Tribolium castaneum: one gene and its partner. The protein of the gene in region 1 purifies or fractionates together with the protein of each later gene. This does not show direct contact. Links are inferred from orthologs where the notes say so. Each region holds a gene or a part of one and is shown on either strand. Other genes may lie near its edges.

The links. Proteins that work in one complex are often made in the same cells at the same time.
Region 2: the proteins of Nup98-96 (region 1) and Nup43 purify together in Homo sapiens (affinity purification with mass spectrometry; 4 studies listed by BioGRID and IntAct, counting the BioPlex papers as one, with this or other methods). This does not show direct contact. The link is inferred for Tribolium castaneum from reciprocal best matches to the Homo sapiens genes NUP98 and NUP43.

What each region holds. Positions count from the first base shown.
Region 1 is NC_087403.1:3,505,970-3,515,982, forward strand, and holds the end of Nup98-96 (nuclear pore complex protein Nup98-Nup96), read right to left. Parts: intron 8,997-10,013; coding exon 8,233-8,996; intron 7,261-8,232; coding exon 6,824-7,260; intron 6,771-6,823; coding exon 6,542-6,770; intron 6,493-6,541; coding exon 5,422-6,492; intron 5,374-5,421; coding exon 5,067-5,373; intron 4,853-5,066; coding exon 4,659-4,852; intron 4,607-4,658; coding exon 3,747-4,606; intron 3,699-3,746; coding exon 2,897-3,698; 3' UTR 2,824-2,896; downstream 1-2,823. Other genes in the region: protein tyrosine phosphatase domain-containing protein 1, read left to right, coding at 905-1,027, 1,277-1,460, 1,506-1,783, 1,828-2,318, 2,366-2,513, 2,565-2,728. UniProt on the Homo sapiens protein: Plays a role in the nuclear pore complex (NPC) assembly and/or maintenance. NUP98 and NUP96 are involved in the bidirectional transport across the NPC. May anchor NUP153 and TPR to the NPC.
Region 2 is NC_087398.1:14,038,288-14,049,540, forward strand, and holds Nup43 (nucleoporin Nup43), read right to left. Parts: upstream 6,192-11,253; 5' UTR 6,090-6,191; coding exon 5,868-6,089; intron 5,798-5,867; coding exon 5,329-5,797; intron 2,773-5,328; coding exon 2,414-2,772; 3' UTR 2,374-2,413; downstream 1-2,373. Other genes in the region: fand (pre-mRNA-splicing factor syf1 homolog), read right to left, coding at 915-1,971, 2,021-2,074; MYND-type zinc finger-containing chromatin reader ZMYND8, read left to right, coding at 9,050-9,526. UniProt on the Homo sapiens protein: Component of the Nup107-160 subcomplex of the nuclear pore complex (NPC). The Nup107-160 subcomplex is required for the assembly of a functional NPC.

The sequences.
Region 1 (10,013 bases):
ATTCGGTTGAGGAATCGATCCGATATTTACACTTGAACTACTTTTCACCTACTCAAACCCATAAGTAAATTTATTCAATAATGTGCATGAGCTTTCGTTGACATAACAACATAAATACCATTTCCTGCACGAAAAACAAAACTAACTGAAATTAGAGATAATTCCCTCGTGGGCAATCGCGATTACACGAAATAATTACCTAAAGACTTTATCTGTATTGATTCCGAAAAGAAAATATTCTATAAATAAAAAACTGTAATTACGTCTGCGAATGGAAAACATTGCCACAATATCGGCCCCCGAAAACAACAAAGTATAAAAATAGCGTTTCCGGAAAATGCAAATGCGAAAAACCCCCGTCATAAATCTTTCAGTCAGTTATTACGCGTATGTAGATTTTCTAAATTTCTCGTCCGTTGATAAGGAAATCGGGTCGTACAACATAGGGGTATAAACCTGATAAGTTAACCTACATAAAATCGCGTGAATTCGCCCCGTTAACGTGTTTAAATCGAATTAATCATTAATTGGTGCTTGAGCCCAACTGTCTATTTAAATCGGGCAGAATTGATTCGTAAATGAATCGACTTGTTGAATACCCCTATCTGAACTTTATTTAATGAAGAACCGTATTCGATTAGGGTAAATTATTTACGCATTGTTCTAACTATAAACCGGCCGAGCTTTGGCCGAAATCGACAAACCCAATAAGCTTCCAATTACCCGAAGGGAATTAGGGTTTTTATCCCGTGGGAAATTCCTTTCCCGGTCAATTATGCTCGCGTGACGTGCAAAGTGCGCTTTGATATCGACTTTTTCCATAATTAATTAGCCTCATTTATTTTAATGGGGGATTTTTAGTCACACTCAAGTCGCACAGTTTAAAATCCATGCCCATTTCCAGTTTTTTATTACAATTTCGCCTGGAAGGACTACGGGGATGCCACGCTGGTGGGCCTCCTCAACATGGTGAAGGTCCTGGCGTTTGCCGTAACGGAAGGACGCGTGGCTATTCACTGCCACGCCGGTAAGAATATAAGCAACATGCGATATGACCGAGTTGATGAGTTTGTTACTTTTATTTCTGTATTTGGTATTGATTTTATTAAGTAGTGTAAACACGCCGTCAATCATATTTATTGGTCCAACACCACGTTCATTTTTTATTAATTGCTATCAAGAAAACTTTATTTTCTGTGTTGACATGATGTATAATCAACATCGCTGTTTCAAGGCCACGGGCATTAAATATTCTGATCAAACGATCAACTTTCAGGTCTAGGGAGAACTGGGGTTCTGATAGCGTGTTACTTGGTTTACTCGCTTCGAGTTAGCGCAAACGATGCCATAAGATACGTCCGGTTGAAAAGGCCGGGGTCGGTCCAAACCCGGGGACAAATTTTATGTGTCCGCCATTTCGCACAATTTGTACTTCCCCGAACTATAACCTACTGTCTCAAGTATGTTAACTGGGTATTGTCCCGAAACCAAAATTAACGTTTCAGAGAAAACATCAACAAAAACAAATATATGAGTGAGTTTAGCTTGGTGCGGTTCCTGCACAGGCAGAGGGTCATCCTCCACGGCTACGAGGAACGCACTTTCAAATTCATACCGAAGATCGTCCACTGCATTTGCGAGCGGATTTTGAAGCTGTGTGGCTGCTGGATTGACGAATTCTCGTCAAACACGCCACTCACCTTCGATTTCCTTTACACGAAACTCAACGGGAACATCAAAAGATACGAAAGTACCTACAGCTTGTGCAGCACGAACTCCGATTGTGAGTCGTTTGGTGCGCTTATTTTGGCTTATGCCGCTTTTCAGCGCTCTTTTCCAACGAATTAAAGTCTCCTGAAGAAATCTCTTCACCTTCTAGTCCAAACCCTTCCGAGAATGGCGACCCGAGCGACTCGTTTTCCGAATTGAGCACCCTAGACGGTGACGAAATAAGGGAAGAACTTTTAATAGAAAATCGATGTTTTCAAGAGTTGGAAACACAAAAGTGTTTCAATCAAGAAATGAGTGAGGAATCAATAGTTATCCAAGACATAAATGTCGCAGTCGATGCACTATTACTGGATTATTCAACGCTATCGAATGAGATCAAAAAGAAAGTGAGACAGTTTCAAATCGAAATTAATTCGTCCCAAGTCGGGTGGGCGAAGCTTGCGATTGAGACGGACTTGAGGATTTTAGCGATGCTGCTTTTTGAGTGGATCGAGAGTCTGAAGCATCCGGTCATGAAACGCGAGTTTTTTGAAAACATTGTCGTCAATTACAAGCAACCTGAAGTCTGCTTCCAGAAGTTTCCAGCTGTATGTATCCTCTGTGAGGACGCAATATAACTAGTTTTTTGTTCCAGGAAGAAGGCTATTTCATGGAATATTTGCTCCGATTTGTCAGTAAAATTAACCCGATTAGTAAAGAGAATCAGGAGGATTTGATAAAACGGATAATTGCCGCATGCTCGCAGCAAACTTTGCTAATCCAAGGGAAGATGAAACCGATAGGTTTGTATTTTTGCATTTGCCGCGTTGAACACAAACCGGCCGTGGTTGCAGATAAAGGGTTTAAAAAACTGCGGGACGGAACGTTGGCTTGCACAATAGAGTTTTTCCAGTCGTTGTTTGAACTGATTGAAGTTCACCACAGCCTTAAGTCGAGTGTTTACTTAGAAGAAAGCAAGATGTATAACGAGAATGATCTCGAGAATGACTTCCAATAAACGAAATGTGTGTGTGAAATACTATTTTTTTAATGTATGTACTTCTTTAATGAATCTCCTTAATCCATCGCGTACGTTTTTATTAAAACCACTCGTCCACAATAACATATTTATTAAGCAGAAAGGAATTACAATAAACATAAAATGACAATTATTAAAAATACATAACTAACGAATTTCTGGCTCCTCTACGGTGAATTTGTTGAACAGATGAAAGAACTCATAATGCTTAATATCAGGAGGCATGGCCAGATTGTTCAAAATCTCAACAAACTTGGCTTGGAACACCGGATTATCTAAACTCTTGTGAAAAATCTTAAACAGCAAGGCACATTTTCGCGAAAGTTCAACAACGAACAGCTTCTGTTTGTCGTTATTAGTCGGAAAGCAGTTAATTCTTCGGAACAAGGAAGCTAGTTTTCCCCCAACGGACGACACTTCGGTACTTCCACCCAATGTTTCTTGCAACTCCAGAAATTCCTTAACAAGTCCAACCTGCGTGTTCCAGTTCACTAGGAGATTGGAATACGGTTGGATCTTATTGATAAAGCTATTCAAATAGTCGTACTGTTCGTTAATGAACAGCTCGGGTAAAATATTGTCAATAAAAGCGGCATTGGCCTCTTGCCACTTCCCCATGTAGATGTAGTGCTGGAAGTACTCGTAGTAGCGACCGGCGATTTTGGCTTTCGTAGCTTTGATTTCGTGGATCCAAGATGCGGGAATTTTGAAAGTCTTCACAAGTTCTCTCTCAACTGACTCGGTTCGAGTCGAGAGATTCCTATCAAGGATTCTCATCACCAGATTCTTTTTCAACAAGTTGTTTTCAAGGAAGAGGAGGCAGAAGATCGCCCACTTCCAAAGGCCCAAGTTCTCCAACTGGGTGGCGAACGTTGTGTGCAAGTGATCCTTTTCCGACTCGCGAATCAACCCGACTCGCAATGACGCAAACAATTGAAGCAAAAACCAACTACAATATTCAATTTACACAAAACTGTTTGTTTTTTTGCAAACTTACCTAAGCCGATAGTCCATGAGATTATCAGTGTGTGTTTCGGGATGCAAAACATTACATAATTGATGCGTACCATCAACATAAAGCGTCAAAATTTGGTAGAGAATATCGTAGTGTTTTACTGGCGAATCAGCCTCGCAGTGCGGCGGTACCGGCTTTGCTGCATAGTCAAGTTCCTCAAACGCTTTCTTATACAAATTAAACGCCACACTAATCGGAGCTGCAGCTGGGGCCACGTACCACAAATGCACCCCGAAACTCCTCATCCAGTCCAGATCCTCACAAGTGTTTATAATTTCATGCACCGGTATGCCGGCAAGAAGCAAATACAATCTTTTGAAATCATCAGTGATTACATCCCTCTCCCTCCATTCAAAACTCTCCACGTATTTCCTCAACCAGGCTTTCACCCTCTCGTTGGCACTCATCTGGCTGATCAGCAGACTCAACTGACTCAAATTGTTGCTACCGGCCAACTCGCTCGCTTCAGCAATTTTATGGAATGACAATAGTTTGAAAATCGTTTTAAATGCCTCACTTTCGTCACGACCGATTCGGTCATGCAAAGTTACGTCGCCGGATAACTCGTACGAAAATTTTCTCAACCAGTCACTGACGTACTGTCTTCGCATACAAGGCGTGTTATCGCCCGGTCCCCACAGCGCCAAACACAAATTCCAAACGCTACAATAGTACTTTTCCCGGCCTGACAGTGGCTGAGTTTTTACGTAATCGTTGAATAAATCGGTTTGTTTTTGCAGGTAATTCAAGTCGCATTTAATACGAAGAGTTGGTATTTGGTTATTATCAAGCACGATATCACTTTCCTCAAGGGTTACTTTAAGTAAATCAGTCAAGTTTGGCTACAATCAAATTATACAACACATGATAAGATAACACAAACGCACAACTAACCATTGCTGAGTTCGCATTCATGACATCGACGTTACAATGAGTGAGGGCATAAACCACCTCGTTGTCAGCAACAGGATCATAGTTATAGAAATTGAAACCTTTCCCCCACCCCACTTTATACGTGTTGCAGCGGAAGACGCCCATCTCCGTGTAACACTTTTGAGTTGTGGTGACTTTTTCCGGAACGATTGCCACTAAATAAATAAACAAATATAGCTTTATTTCTTAGAAAACAAAAATACTATTAAAATATTATATAACAAACTGAAAATTATTTAATCGTACGTAATAGACACGCTGTAATATTTTAGAAAAAACTGGTAACACAATAGTTACTGGAACAATTCGAGCTGTTTTAAGGGCCATGGAAATAATCTACTTTAGAATGCTGATTTCCTGCACACTTACGTCTGATATCCGGTAGTTTGTAGACCTTAGGCGTCACAATAACCTTGCTCGGGATTAGCTGTTGTTTGAGAACACTTTGCGTCTTCTTCGGTTCTTGACTCTCCAAATTGACAAAAAGCGACGACTTGAGCGTCTGGATCGACGATTCTGTGTGGTACATCTCCTCCGAAATGGTGTATTGATCCTCTTCGGGCCAGAAGTCGAGTAACGTCGGCTCGGAGGCGAAACCCTCCGAGTCCTGCATGAGTCGCGTTTTGCTTACCTGGGCACTGCCCCCTAACCCAAGTGGCGGCACCTCGTCCACCTTCTTCAACAGATATAAGACCCCCACACCCAGAGGAAAATATCTACTTACATCAAGCTTTTTCAAAAGGTCTTGCGCCTTCTTAGTGACGGTTTTATCCGCCGAGACTTCGCATTCCTCCTCGTCGCTGTCCGTGAACGCGTATTTGGAGAAATGCTTCACTTTGAAGACCCACGACCCGGTGTTGGGCCTATAATCGACGAACTTGCTGTTGTGCTTTTGCGTGACATGCATGAGGTTGTCGACGAAATTGGTTTGGATGATTTGATTGACGTCGGTGATGTAGTTATTGGTTCCCTTCTCCCGCGGGTAAATTTTGTCTAAGGTCACTTGAGCGCGCCGGTTTAGACCTTCGCCCACTGGGGGTTTTTTGTTATCATCGGGGTAAATAATCACTTCACGGTGACGGAAATGTACGATTTCGTCCAGGTTCATGTTGGCGATGTTGATCAGGTCGGGGAAATGGACATTGCCGTAACCCCGACGCCCAATCGTCAGTCCTTGCACGATACAGTCGCCGTTTTCATCCATGTATTGATGCAAGTCTTTCAAAGCCGGGTACATGTAGTACTCCGGTCGTGTCAGTACCACACCGGCGGGATTCTCGGTACTTTCTGTGTCAGTCGTCGACACAGTCAAAGCTAGTTCAGGAACCGTGTCCGTGATTGTCTCGTCGTCGTTTATCCCTATACTCCCGTTGCCGAACCGAGGAGTTGACTTTGCAGTCGTTGACTCACTCAAGCTAGTTTTGCTCGAACCTGTTTTGGGACTGTAACTAGAATCGTCGAACGAATAGGACGACTTGTTCGTTCTGGCGCTGTCAGTGACCGATGGGTCGAATTGCAACTTCAAACTCCTCCTGCTTTTGGTGATATCTGTCTCGGTCAGATCTTCCGTGTAGTCATTCTCAGTGACAAGACTCCGCGGGCTCAAAATTACACAAGTACCGGCCTCACTTGGTGGCGATGCTTTGATACACTCCTCAGCTTCCTCGATAAGCTCATTGTTGTATTTATTGTAAATAGTGGAATTACTGTCGTTGAATTTACGAATAACGAGGCATTTATGTGAACTTTTAAGCATCTGGCTCGTTTCGAAAAACTCTTTATTGTAGTTAGTACCCTACAAATAATTATAGTAACACAGCGACAAAAACAATACGAGCACTTACTCGTTTAGGTCTCGGCAAGTCAACTTTGATTTTCGACCCCGCCCCTGCACTCTCATCCCTCTTTTTCGAATAATCCAAAAGCGCCTTAATATCCTGCGGGTTCGTGGTACTTTTACTCGAATCTAAAAGTTTAGGCTCCAGACCGTAAACGAACGGCCCATCGGGAAAGCTATCAGTTGCAAGCAGCGAGATACTTTTATTGTCGTCGCCCGATTCTGGCGGAAAGTGACTGAAAGTTTCGCAAATTCAATAAAACTCTTCAAACCGACAAAAACCACTTACGCAGGTTGTTGCTGGTTGAGATTAAGTGAGTACGAAGCCGGCGTTTGTTGAAAAACATTATTAGAGAAAAGACTACCACTTCCGGTTGTCGTGCCGCCGAAAAGACTCGGCGGTTTTGCCGTCGCAGCACCGAACAGTGGTTGTTGTTGCAAGCCGGTGGTCAAGTTCGTACCAAATGTAGGTTGAGTAGGTTGTGTGAACGTACTAGGGGTTAGTTTGCCGAAATTTGAGCCAAAAGCTGGTTGACTCGTTTGGCCAAACCCAGTCGTTCCCGTGTTAGTTTGGCCGAAAATTCCGAAACCGGTGTTGGGTTTCGAAACTTGGAACAAATTCGAACTCTGGGTCGTACCCGTTTGATTAAATGAAAAGCCCGTCTGGGCGGTATTGAACCCAGTGGTGGGCTGCGCCGGTTTTTGAAACAAATTGGTCGCAGGATTCTAGAACGGGAACAAATCAAAAGCTAGATTTTTTGATCTACGTTTTACCAACGTAGCGTATTTTATTCGCAAATATTGCAAAGTAGTTTCATACTTTCTAATTCAATTCATTTTAAAGCAATTTTTTTTTTTGGTTATTCGATACCTGAGTTGCGGAAATATTTATTTTATAAAATCTCTGTACTTTTACACAGGTAGAACTGTGTACTTTTTAATAGTAATAAAGTTACGAATACTTGACCTTAAAAATGCACCTTCCTGTATATGTTTCAGGTAGGTACCGCAAAAAACGTTAAATAGCGAAGTCCTAACAACCTCTTTGTTTGCCACCTTGTCACAATTCATTATCTAGCAGATTATATTTTTTGTTGGTGGCATTTTATCCACATTACACAATTAATGTGCCATTTAATTTCAATCAGTTTGTTACTTACTGTTGTCGCGAATACGTGAATAAAAATTTTGTAGTTTAAAAATTTAAATTCGTTGCTAGTGCGTGTTGAACGTGTGCGGCTAGTGGTTAGTGTGTGCTACTAGAATGGATTTCCAGGGAGAAAAAGGAAGAAACAATCCGGATTAAAGGGTTAGTTTGCAACACTTTCATAAAAATTACATTAAATCTGTAATATTTTCAACTAATTTAGAGGCGTATTGTTCTAACTTCATTGTTTTTATTTCAGTAGGTCCGTTTAAGAAGATGATGCGATGGGAAATGCCATAAGGTCAGTGCATTGATTTGTTTTACTTTATTTTTAATGCATTTTAATTTACATTATATAATTCTTTATAAGCTTTAGAAGGTCAAAAATACTTTACTTAATAAATAAGTACTGAATATCTTGCAAAATTATAATCCTAATAAAATTTTTATAAACGACGATATATAAATTTATAATTAAAGTAAAAATTATCGTGCACTATCGCACTTAAAAGCACAAAAATCGCGGAAATTTGAAGTAAAACCGCGCTTACCTGGGTGTTCGTTTGGCCGAAAACGCCGGCCCCGAAGGTGGCGGGCGCTTGCGTGGTTTGTGTCCCGAACAGGGGTTGGGAGAAGGGTTTGGCGCCTTGATTAGCGCTGAAAGGGTTGGTTGCCGGTGTGACATTAAACCCAAAACTTGGGGTGCTAGTGGTAGCGCCGAAAGTGTTCGGTTTTCCGAACAAAGTCGGAGTGCTTGTCGTGTTGGTCGATCCGAAAGCTGGTGTTGTTTGTCCGAAAGCCGGCGCCTGGCCGAATGCTTGCGGTTGTTGTCCGAAGGCGGGTTTGTTATCAGTTTGCCCGAAAAGCGAGGGCGTTGTAGTGGTCGAAGCCCCGAAAGGGGTGCTTCCGAAACCGGCCTGTTGTTGGGGTCCTTTCCGGTTAACCGAATAGTCCTCAAATCGCAACTCTTCCAGCGATTTATTCTCGTATTCTTTCATGCACGTGATGCAGTGGTGTTTGGTACTTATCGACTGGGTTACCCCGTTTTTTTGCATGGTGTCGGTCCCCGTAACCGGATTGAATTTAATAACAGTGCCGGTGGTCTGGTTTCCGAAAGCGTTACTTCCGAATAACATTGTATTAGTGTTTGATTGGAAAAGAGAGGTTCCGGGTTGTTGTTGCGGCTGTTGGCCGAATAATCCGGGCTGAGGAGGGGCCGAGCCGAATCCGAATGATTTATTTTGAGTGAATGCATTTGAGCCACCGAATAAACCGCTAGTTGATGGTTGTGGTTGCTGGCCAAAGGGATTTGTGCCTACAGACAGATTTATTAAGAAACTGAATGATGAAATATCGGACTATTGCCCATTCTGTGCTTGGGAAAAAAAAAGGATATGGATAGGGATCACACATCATTCCGTTAAAACCATCATTGAATATCTCACTTACCAGACGACGACTTACAAGACATCCTAGTTAAACTAGCTAAACAATAAAATAAAATAACCAAATAAATACAAATCATAGGAGTGTCTCCCGATATATGAGACAAGAAGTATACTTACAATGGGCGCTCATTGTCTCATCAGCTAAACCTATGAATCTTTTAAATTAATTGTTTCAATCGACTTAGCTTACCAAACTCTGGATCGGAAATATTGGCCATAGAATAAGTCATAGAACTGGTTGTTGTACCTATCAAATATTTAAAAAAATTTTGGCCGAAAATAACAAACCGTTACTTACAAACACATGAAGCAACTGAAATACCGCCACCACCAACTTAAAAGAAAATAAAATCGAAAAGCTCAACTGTCGCAATACTTACTACTTTGAAGATATTGGGTCAATTGTCGGTTAAGAGGTCTACCATCTTGGCCTATTGAAAATTACTTAATATATACGTAATACCTTAAATTAACTTACGTGTAATAGTAAACGGGCTTAATGGCTGTGGAACTCTCTGTTCTCCTAAATAAAAAAAAATATAGAAACAATTCCAACTTAACAATAATTTCGATTTACCAGAGGGTCCCGGCTCAGCAGCGCGAGGTGAATGAAATTCGGGATACGGTGGTCTGGGAGAAATCTCACCTAAAAATTCCAGAAAATAATAAAGATAAATTTATGACAAAAAAACTCACCAGCACCAGCGTATCTCAAAATGGCTGGATCAACCAAGCCCGGGCTATCTAAAATCAAGTAAAATGCCTTATAACTTTGTTTTTTATTTTATTAGTTGAACTCTTGAATTCTGTGAGAATAATAAACGTCTGCGAGTTCTAGTTCTAATGTGTACAATCTCCAGGAAAAAGATACTATTAATAGTATA
Region 2 (11,253 bases), on another chromosome or scaffold:
AAAACAACATGGCAATATTTCAAATAATAAAAAATTTATAGACCGATTACGCACCCCAGAGCCACCCTGTATGAATTTTTTAAGATTGTTTTGTTTATAATTATAAGTCTAAAACAAAAGACGATAGCGGGATGCGGATTTTATCAATTTTATTTTCTCAAAAAAACGGATTTGAGAATGTGTCACTCGTTGTTTTCTAAAAACCTCTTCCAAATTGCACTACCCTGTACAGTAAAAATATACTTGTTAGAATCCAGTTTTATCAAAATAAGCTGAAAAATCACTGTAGTAGCCAAAATTAAATTATTCTCTTCTTAAATCAACTAAGTTGAAAAGTCTTTTTTTTTTTAAATTCAATCCATTTTGGGGTGGATTTTACAATCGTGAAATAAACTCCGGATATGGTATTTTTGGTATAATTACTATGGTCACAATTGTTACAACAATGTATTTTTTAAAATTTCTCCCCAGGATAAAGTTAGCCGACGATTATCCACCCTTAGAATGTTTTTTAATTTTTTATTAATTAGAAGTGGGGAAGACCCAAAACTTTTTTTTCTACATTTGGACTACTGAAGTGATTCTCTACAATGCTATAAACTCGGAATTCGCCATTTTTGAGACGCCCTGTATGTATTTGAAGAGTCCGTATAGGTTTTTTTTACAATAAAACAGGCAGTAGATAAATAATGGTAGATGAGCAAGTGCCCGATATATATGCAAGTTTTAAACTGCTTACAATTGCATGTGACATCGACGATCTTCGATTCATAAAAATTGAGAAAAATACAATTAAATTTCTATTACTTTCAAAGACAAGTGACCATAAATCGTACAACTTTTACAAGGTAAAATTTCCGATATTTTAGTAATAAATACGAGTAAAATTGTATGATATTAATTTACAAACGTACCTTCATACAGCTGCACTCGCTTGTGCCACTCCTGCACATTATGCGGATTCTGCCTCAAGAGAACCGAATTCAACAGCAACAGCCTCCTCTCCATCAAATTCTCAAACCTCGCCAGCCTCAACTCCAACTCAATATCATCATCTTCAGTCTGATTGGGCTTTTGCGCCACCTCCTCCATCCGTTTACTCAACGTCAACTCCTCAAACTGTGCATAGGCGTCAAAGACTTGCGTAAAATCCCGCACAGTTGTAACCGTCTGAATCGCCTCCTCGTAAATATCCCGCGCCCGTTCAAACAACCCGCTCCTGACATAATACGTAGCCAGAGAGTTCCACAAATGCCCCAACTGATCAGTGTACCGCCTCAAGCCGCCCCTGATAATCGCATCAACATTCAACGAATGCACCTCTTCGGGATTTTTCGAAATCAACTCGCACAACTCGTTCCAGAGCTGGTGTTTGGACTTCCCGTGCTGTGACACGAAATTCTCATCATTGACAATCTTAGCCAACACAACGGCGGCTTCGTCCAAACGCCCAACTTCGGTCAAATACTCAACGTATTCCTCCGCATTCTCCGGACTGAGCTTCAAATACCGGCGAAAAATGCGCACAGCGGTCTCGGAAATGTCGTGCTTTTTGACGAATGTGAGGTAAAGGGGCCAAATCCGGTGGTGTTGGGTCACCGGGAGCGCCCTCAAAGCCCGGTCGAAAACCTTCCGAGTCCGCGTTATCTTGCACTGATCGGTCAGGAAACTGCAATAATCCATCCAAATTCGCGGCATTTTGTGCATGAAAACAAGGGAGCGCTCAAAAGCGTTGTTGACTTCCTCGAATGCGGGGTCTGTGATGCAGCGGTTTTTCACCTGGAGGCGGCGAGTGCGTAAGTAGTTGTACCAAAGTTTGTAAGAGCCGGGGAGCTCTTTAAGGGCCCGCTCGTAAATTATGTTAACGCCGTGCTTCGGGGCCTTCTTCTTGTGCTCAATGTAGCGCAGCCAGTGCTTCACAGAGTAGGGGTTGCGGAGGATCTCTTCTTCGTAAGGGAGGTCTTCGTCTGTCTGGAATTTTCGCAGTTATTTTGGACTAATTTTGAAACGGGATACGTACAAATATAATTTCCATGGGGGTTTCTTTACGAACAACATCGCTAGAGACAGGCATTGCGGCGCTTTGAACGAAAATATAACGTTGAGAAATGTTAGGTTAAGTAGATGAGGTTAGTTATTATTGTCGGTCAAAAGCGAATTCCAACAAATGCGAAATTAAAAATATACAAAATGTGAAATTGTGGTGTTTTTTAACAAGTGGTAGTATATATTGCTCTTATTTCTAAGTTTTAACCTAAAACACCTTAGTAAAATGCTGATGATATGATCAACAAAGATATAATACAGTAGAGTCTGGTTATAACGAACCCATTATAACGACCTCCAGCTATCACGTATATGCCAACAACCAAATAGTGGTTCAACTTTTTATTAGAAACTTTGTACAAAACAATTACTTAAAAACATTAACTCCATTGATTAAATAAACCGCCTCGTTATCGCACCCACAAAGAACCTTATTTCTGTTAACATCCAGACTATTGATTGGTTTGTGCAATTTAGGCATGAGCGTAAAAACATCCAACTTATTTTTGATAGCCTCGGATGCCAACCAAACATTCTCCCCATTCAGCAAACTAGAGGCACTGCCACATTTAGGCGACCAATGCCAAACATCCCCATCAGTGGAACAAGTGAATAGCTGGTCAGGATGATCTGGATGGAAGTGTATTTCCATAACGCCTCCCTCATGAGCATCCAACACATTCACAGGATATGTGTTTTGGCGCAAATCCCATATCGTTATCGAACCTGAAACGGAGTAAATAACATATTTCGAATTCTGATCAGAGTGGTCTATGACTAAAATTGAAGGCAGTGGCAACTTATAAAATGTGCTCAAAAAACTTCGTTCATCAAGTCACATATGAAATTTGAACGTAATGTGCCGCTTAATTTAAATTTAAAATAGTTAACTTGATGAACCACCATTTTTGAACACATTGTATTTTACCTAATTTATCTTTTAACGGAAATTGGAACTATAGAGACTTTTTTCAAAATTTTCTGCAGCAAAAAATAAGTGAAGCCTTAACGTCACAACCGCCTCTCATCACAGAAACCTTTTATTAATCACATATTTTTCACATATCTTCTACAAAATCAAAAAAATAACTACTTTCCAAACTCCTACCTGTTCTAAATTTTGTCTTGCACTTTGCGAAAATATCTCAGAAATTGTGTCTTCATTTCGATATTCTTTGGCAGTGATCAAAAACTATTTGATCTTAAAATTGGACCAAATAATGCTCGAGAGACGGTTATGACGTCATAATCCCAAATTTATATCGAAATAACTTGAAGTAGGATCGTTTCATAAATCATTTTAAAGTAACTTAAACTTTTAAAAGTGACTTCAATTTTTAAAATGCGTTTCAACCTAAAAATTTTCGTAAAATATTTCGTCAAATAATGATTAGGTAAAGACGTAAAGACGGCGGCAAATTACAAAAGCAACTTTAACAAACGTTAAATTTGTCAGTTTTTTGAATTGCACAAAATTAAGAAAGTGTTCATTTTTTCTTCTAATTCATTATCTTCTTCCGAACTGCGAAGACAAAAAATTTATAGAAAAAGAAAAATTATTTTGAAATTGTTAGTGATGTAAATTTCTTCGATCAGTTTCGTTTAACCAAGCCAACCATTTACGCTCGTTTGAAAAATGTTGAATAGATTACGTTCTAACAAGTAAAAGTCTCAAAATTGACGCCTGTGCTATGGCAGTTTGATTTAGGGTATTAATACAAATCGAAAGTTAAGAGTAAAAAATTTTCCAATTGTTCGTTTTAGAGTTATTGATAAAAATGTAAATAATAAGCTTTAGCTGTCTTTCCAATTATTTGTGCAACATAATTGATTAGTTGATGTTAGCGATATTAAAATTCTTTGAATAACTGTGTCTAGTAAAGAGTATTATTAATTTCCTTCGTTTTTGTATGTGTTAAATGATAAGATACCACTTTATTAGTGTATTCGAAATTTTGACGATATGTTAAAAGCTCGGTTATAAGTAAGATGTTTGTATGATGGCAATGCCACTGCTGAGACTAGGGCCTACACGGAAAAGTTTCCAAATCGCATTATAGCATACTTTGTGACAACAAATTTGGTAAATTCGCTTTTAATAAAATTTAATGTACAAATTTTAAATTTTAGATACTTATCAATAACTCGATAACGAAGGACAATTGGACAATTTTTCACTCTTAACTTTCGATTTGTTTTAGTCTTCTGAAGCAAATCCTAAAAGCATGGGCGTCAATTTTGAGTATATATAGGGTATATACTTATAGTTCTCACATTACTTGCTATGTCAACCGCAAACCAACAAAAACTTACCCCACAATTGCAGTTATTATTTTGATCATTGTTGTTTACAAGAAGGAATCCTAAAAGATAATGAGCCTCTTGCAGGTACTAAGAAGATGCCCAAAATAATTGATGCGGTTTTGTGGAAGTTTTCATTGGTTTATGGTATAGACATAGCCAGTTACGCAGAACTATACACAACATCAAAAATAAAAATATTTTCGTCAACACTATAACTATTTCATAAACTTCATCAACAGCAGCAAGCTGAAGACGAAAGGAACCATTATCGTTGATTTTTTTGCGTACTAATGATAATGTGGATTTAGCACAATTATCTGGCGGACTAAATACTAACAAAAAATAGTTATTAACATCAACTGCATTAAAGTTTGAAATATCAATGTCATTTCTTTACGTAAAGTAATCTTATATATGCGTTCCAAAATCAACTATCTCCGCGTTGTTTTTTGGAGTTATGTGTTTGCCTTAAAAGACTTAAAACTTTAGCCACATGTTATTTCAGCAAATACGTAGTTTGAGTTTTTTTATTCCATTTCACTATCTAGTCTTAAAAAAAGGATTTTTAAAAGACATTTTGTTCCATAACCGCCCATCTCCTCTCCAACTTGTTCCAAAACTTGCCACCTCCAACCTTAAAAAAAATGCAGGCTTTAAATTCAAACATTGTAATTAAAGTATAGGTCATCGAATTCTACTCTCTAAGAGGTTTTATATCAGTGTAATTTAAAATTTATTTGTTCAACAGCATTTGTATTAAACATTAAACAAAAATACTGAATAGAGACGGCAGGTTTTGGAACTAGACGACTCATTTTACAGCGTTCAATTTTATTAAAACTTCACGCTGTAAAATTATACCTACCGCACGTATAATGTAAATAACTATTTTGGTATCATTTAAAAGAAAGTTGCCAATACCTTTAAGTTGGCACCATTTTTGGCGTTTGCCAACATAAATAAAAAAAAAATAGGTACCTTCTTCATCGCCAGCTACCACCAAATGCCTCTGTGTAGGGTGGTTTTGGAGACACAATGGCGAGATTTGATCCCCACTCAACATGAAAGTGGTCGCGGGTTGGCTTTTAGGGGCCCGAATATCGAAAATCTTCAATTGTCCACGAAAATTACCGGTCAAAATTTCGCTATGCTTCAGAAAAGCCACACAACGAATTGAGCAACTATCGGCGTTTTCAATTGTGCGGATAACGTTTTGGTTTTGGGCATTTAACAAATTGATAGAACCGTCTTCGCCAACGCTCACAATATCGTTGTCGTAGGTGCAAAAGGCAGTGCAAGGGCAATTCTCCCCATTGGGAAATTTGTGAACTCCCTCCCAGTAAATTTTTCTCTCAATTAAGGGATCAATTCCATGTTCGGAAGTAATCTTCAGCAGACTGACGCAGCCCGACGACGAAGAAGCAACGAAAAAATCGCCGTTTAAGAACTAAAAAATGACAAAAATTGTTTCACTCGCTACGTGGCTCGTATCGCAATACTGATTGTAATATACATACTTTAACTTCAGTTATGTCCCCGTTGTGTGGAAATTCAGCCACCAGAAATGGATAAACTTCGGCATCTTCTTCATTTTCTTGGAAATCCCAAAGTTTGATGCTGTTTTGGTCATTGTCCCAACTGCCGGTTACAAAATAATGCGAGGCATTCATAAAATCGGGCCTCCAACGGATTTTATTAACTTTTTCAGAAACAAATGTTCCATGAATGTTGTGGGCCATATTTTGTGTATAATTAAGCCCATAAAAATTAAAAAAGTGGCGCTATAACCTCACTGTGTCGTTGAAAGCATAATTGAATAATTGTCAGGCAACCCACTATACGTGCGGTGGAGTATACTCCGTATCAAATCTATAAGACAAATTGCTTAACGACTCTACATTTTTTTAAGCCAGAAGTACGTTATAAGAATACATGATTAATGTTTAGAAAATATTGTTACGGCTGAACTGTAATAAGTTTATGTTTAAAAATAAAATAACTATTTAAAACAGATTTTTTTATGTGGGGGGTTTATTTTATAGAAACGGAAGTAGGTGTACGTTCATGGCAACCTGTTCACTGACAGTAATGTTTTCCACTAGATGTCAGTCATGAAATTTCAACAACAGAACTGGCCTTTATAAAGCCCCCCTACATGAAAGGCAATTAGACGAATTTAGTAATAAATACAAAATAAAGTATGTGATAAGCTCTCCCAAAGCCAAGAAATGGAACAGGTCAGTAAAACTAAAACAATTTACAACTTTTTTAACCTAGAAATTTTTCAGATTGATAAAAAAATCGAAGACGAAAATGATTAAACAGCTGTTGCCTGAGGAAGACACTAAGCCAGTTTAGTGTTGTAGCAGCCCCTTGAGGAGCACAAATGTCGTGATTATTCCTTTGAGACGAACCAGTTTCTACATTTAAAGGGACACCATTGAATAAGATACACTATACACACATTAAACATGTGCCTTTGAATCAAATGTGTGATTCCATTCACAGCTTGCGTTAGTTGCAATTTAGAGACGTTTTTTGTATTAGTGTTTCTAAAACTTGCTATTAGTAACAGACATGGTTATTTCAGTACTGTAAACAATATATATTTAAATGTCGCGAATGTTCATATGATGCAAAAAATAAAGCCGGCGATTTAAAAGATCACACACTGCACCACCATATACTTTCAACCTCATTAAATGTCTGTTGCACAGACTATTTTCAAGACGCTGTTTAAAAACATGTTTTTAGAACATTACATATCAGAACAGGTTTAAATGTTTCACTTAACTTTATAGAATAATTTGGTGAAACGTAAGGCCCTTATTGTATGTCACAAATCTCATTTTAAAACCAATAATAATATTAAATAGTTATTTTGTATTATCTTCCAAGCAGAGTAGTTAAGATTGACTAAAGTAATATTTTATAACAGTGCAGTTGACGACAGAAAATGATTCGCAAGTTAGGGTTTCTTTGGGCTTGCTTCAGCTTAGGCCCCATGTCTGCTCATGGTAACATCTGTTCTGAAAAGTGAGACGAAGTGAGCAATAAACATCTTTTTTACTGCAGACTAATCATTTTCTGGCCCCATTGCATTGTTGTCATGAAATATTACTTTAGTATATCTCCACAATTTCGCTTGGAAGAAAATAATGTTTGTCAGTTTAGGACGAAGCATAAAGGGTATTGGATGCGGAATCTTAGGCGAAAACATAATATTGAAAAAGGCTAACAGGACTTACTATTTTTACAATAATAATTCTCTCTATACCTACTGTTAAAAAACATGAGAAAGTGTTTATCGATGATTTTTTGTAATAATACATATTTTGTGACTCTACATTACATAAAAATTGATTATATTATTTTATAACCATTACGACCTGTAAACAGCTGTGGATGTATGGTGTGCAAGTTTAAGGATTTACAGGGATTTCGGGGATGTACTGGGAGTTTACCTTTATCTATAAATTTACACCACTGCGCAAGCCCAAAAGTTAAGACGCATGTCACCTGATTTCTAATGCTCTTGTGTAAATAAAACAAACTGAAGATTTATATTTCGTTTTTGAGTTAGGAGTGGTTTTATTTTAAAAACCTAAACCTAAAACGTTTAATTCTTAAACCAATTTAATTTAACAAAGGAGCATATCGATTAAGGGTAGTTTTTGACGAGTAGGTACTTGGAGTTTGTTTTGAAATTTCCCTTCACAGTAACCCACTAGTTTTTTGTTTAAATTAAATTGACTCTAAATCAGATATGTAGTACTACTATTAGAGTTCAAAATTGCAAAAATAAAACATCCCCCAATATATAAACGAATCGATAATCTTTTTTCACGGTTTGATAAGGTTTTTTGCAAGTTTTCAAAACTGTTACAAAACGTAGGGGATTTCATTTAAAATTTTGAAATAAGGGTAGCTAACAGCAGAGGTATAAAAGCTAAGGCGTTTGCACAAGGTACAGGAAGTATGGTGTTTAAGTTTAGATCTGCTGTTTATCCCTCGGATCATTATAAATTATAACACAGAATTCTTAAATTTTCTTTTAATTTTAATTCTAAGGCATATGCAATTTATAACTAAATAAATATTATTAAAATCAAGTATATGCAGTAACAACTGGGGACTTTTTCAAAGGTTGTGTCACGTGATACCTACGTCAGACACGATGTGAAGCCGTGACGTAAAGTTTCAAGAAAAAACCATGTGACCCACTTTTCCTTCCTCTCCCCTACACCAAACGCTGAACTCCAGTCAAGTTACATTAACATCAGCGCCCCCAACGGCAAATATTATAAATACAGTGGAAGTGTTGTGAATGTGATGCATTCTCTACTATCGATAATGCTGATTTTTCATCAATAATGAGCTTTTCCAATGAAAATTAAGCTAGACGGTGAGTAAAACCCCTTGCTACGACGATGTTTTCCAAGTCAGTCGCTCCAAACATGTGTAGAGCTAACAGAAAGGGTTTTATTCTAGGTTATGTAAATAAGAGCGAAGAAGTGTAGCGAGTTGCCGAAAGCCGGCTTTAGTGCTGAAAAGTGGCCGAATTTTCCTCCGAGCCCGCAATGAACCGCTTTCCACGGCTGTAAAACGCGCATTTCCCTTCCATTGTGCATCGAGTTCAAGTCGTTTGTAACCAAACAATACCAACTGTGCATTTGCTAGATCACTATAACCCACGACAATGTCCGAAAGCGAGCAGCTCGACCTTGCGCCGCCCCCGCCGCCGCCGCCGGAAGCCGAACCGCCCGCTCCACCTCCCGAGGAGCCCCAGAACGGCGACGACAAGCCCCCAACGCCGCCCGAGGAGCCCCCACCGCCAAGTGAGTCCCCTGACGACACCAGCACCCCCAAAACCAGCCGCGAGCTCAAATCCATTCTCGCTTTGTCTAAAGAGGCGAAGCTAGACACCAATCTGTCAACAAACAGACGCAAAACGCTAGACAAAGTCAAGGGCACGCCGAAAAAATCACCCAAAATGACGAGTTTTCCTGTTACAGCCGAGAGCGAGCTGGAAAATTACGACGTGAAAATCGACGAGAAAAAAGCGAAGAAACGAAAATCGAGCTTCGGAGGCGAAAGCGGGGCAGAGGGCGCCACCGCCGATGAGGCAAGGAGGGGGCTGCAGTTTTATAACAACGATTTTATCATGGCAAGGAAGGTAAGGCGGCTCAGAAATACACAAATTGTGTTCAAACTAGTGCTCATTTGAGCTATAAACAAGAAAAGTGGACGCAAGTGTTTGTAAAAAACGCCAACTTGTCACGATCGTGCGAGTGATAGTTGGCTGTGATTTGTTTTTCACACGTTGCACAAACTGTTCAAATGTCAACAAAAAAATATATTTTTACAATTAAATGGTGCTTGAAGCCTTTCTTGCCGTTTCCAGCAAAAGGCCCTGATCTAAAACAGGTTTCATTAACGTTGTATTACACAAAAAGTGTTATTACAGTTGTTGTCTCGAGTACAAGGTTGTAAATATACACCAAGCGCATGTTGGCATATTTTAGTTGTGTAAAATTAACAACTGTTTTTTAGATACTGCGCTAATATTTTACGTCACGTATTATGATAAGTAAAATTACAACTTTTTGTAAAATAGTTCATTCAACAAAAACGTAGATCTTCACTAATTTTAGATTATTTTGTGGTATGTAAGAACTTTGCCAATCACGTAACAAGTGACATCTACATTATTTTTATACAGAGTGTCTATAAAAAACATAGATGGATACTCTCTGTTTCAAAACTACGGAAGTGCCGCCGTTGCATTTTACCGAATTATTTGTTTTAATAAGTATATAAATTGCATTATGGTCCGGTTCAAACATTTAGCAACAGCTGTCAATTTTTAAAACTAATTTTCGCTTTGAATTCTCTTGGCTCTATCGCTGGGATTCTATTTAACACTGAATTATTTCACAGAAACTCTCAATTTGTGCTCTATTCTACTAAAAAAAATGCAAAGGCGCTGTTGCCATTTTCTACTAAGAACTGAAATGAGACAGCTATTAATTTTTTGAAGTGCAAATGAATAATTTATAAGAAGAGAAAATGTGACGTTGGTATTTCCATAGTTTTGAAACGGAGAACAAGTGATATGAAAATTTTAGAAATATGGTTTTGATGTATTTAATGAAATGACTGCACACTTAAAATTAACCAATTTAACACAAAATAACACGGAAACACAGAAAGTTTTAATTTGACTATAACTTTAAAATAGCAAGTAGACTAGAATCATATTCATCCCGTCACCTAATAGAACAAATGATAGTTGTACCTGAACAAAAGCACTTTACGACTATTAATGAAGCTCTCAGGTTTTTGAAAATTCTACCTTCAAGGGGGTTAAACAGGGGCTAAATTTTATATAAAAAATCTTTTTTTTTTTAATTTGAACTATGGAAAATTAGTATTTGGGCTTTTGCTTAAAAATGAAAAACTTGTTTTAGGTTTTTTGGAAATTCCACTTGTAGAGGGTTCAATATGAAAATTCGACATTTTTGAAGATATACAAGGTGTTTACGAAGTTGAGATGTTTCTTTTAACACGAGGCTCTATGCATTATTCTTCATAGTTTTAGCCTAAATCGTCTTAATAAAATGTTTTTATTAACGGAGATAATGTTAAGTTTTTCTAAAATTTTGACTCCGGTCTTGTCTAAAAATTTCGGGCACTTTTAACATTTCATTGTCAAGAAGGATAGGGAATTACACACGTTTATGTCAGCGAAACGTCAAATGTGTCCGAAACTTTTTGCTCGCCATCGTACTATTTAGGCCTTCGGTAAAAAATGAAGAAACACATGTTTCATTCTTTTTAAAATTTTAATCTTCAGGCATCTTCCAGGGGGGTTAAGTATAAACGTTCTAAAGCGACACCTCT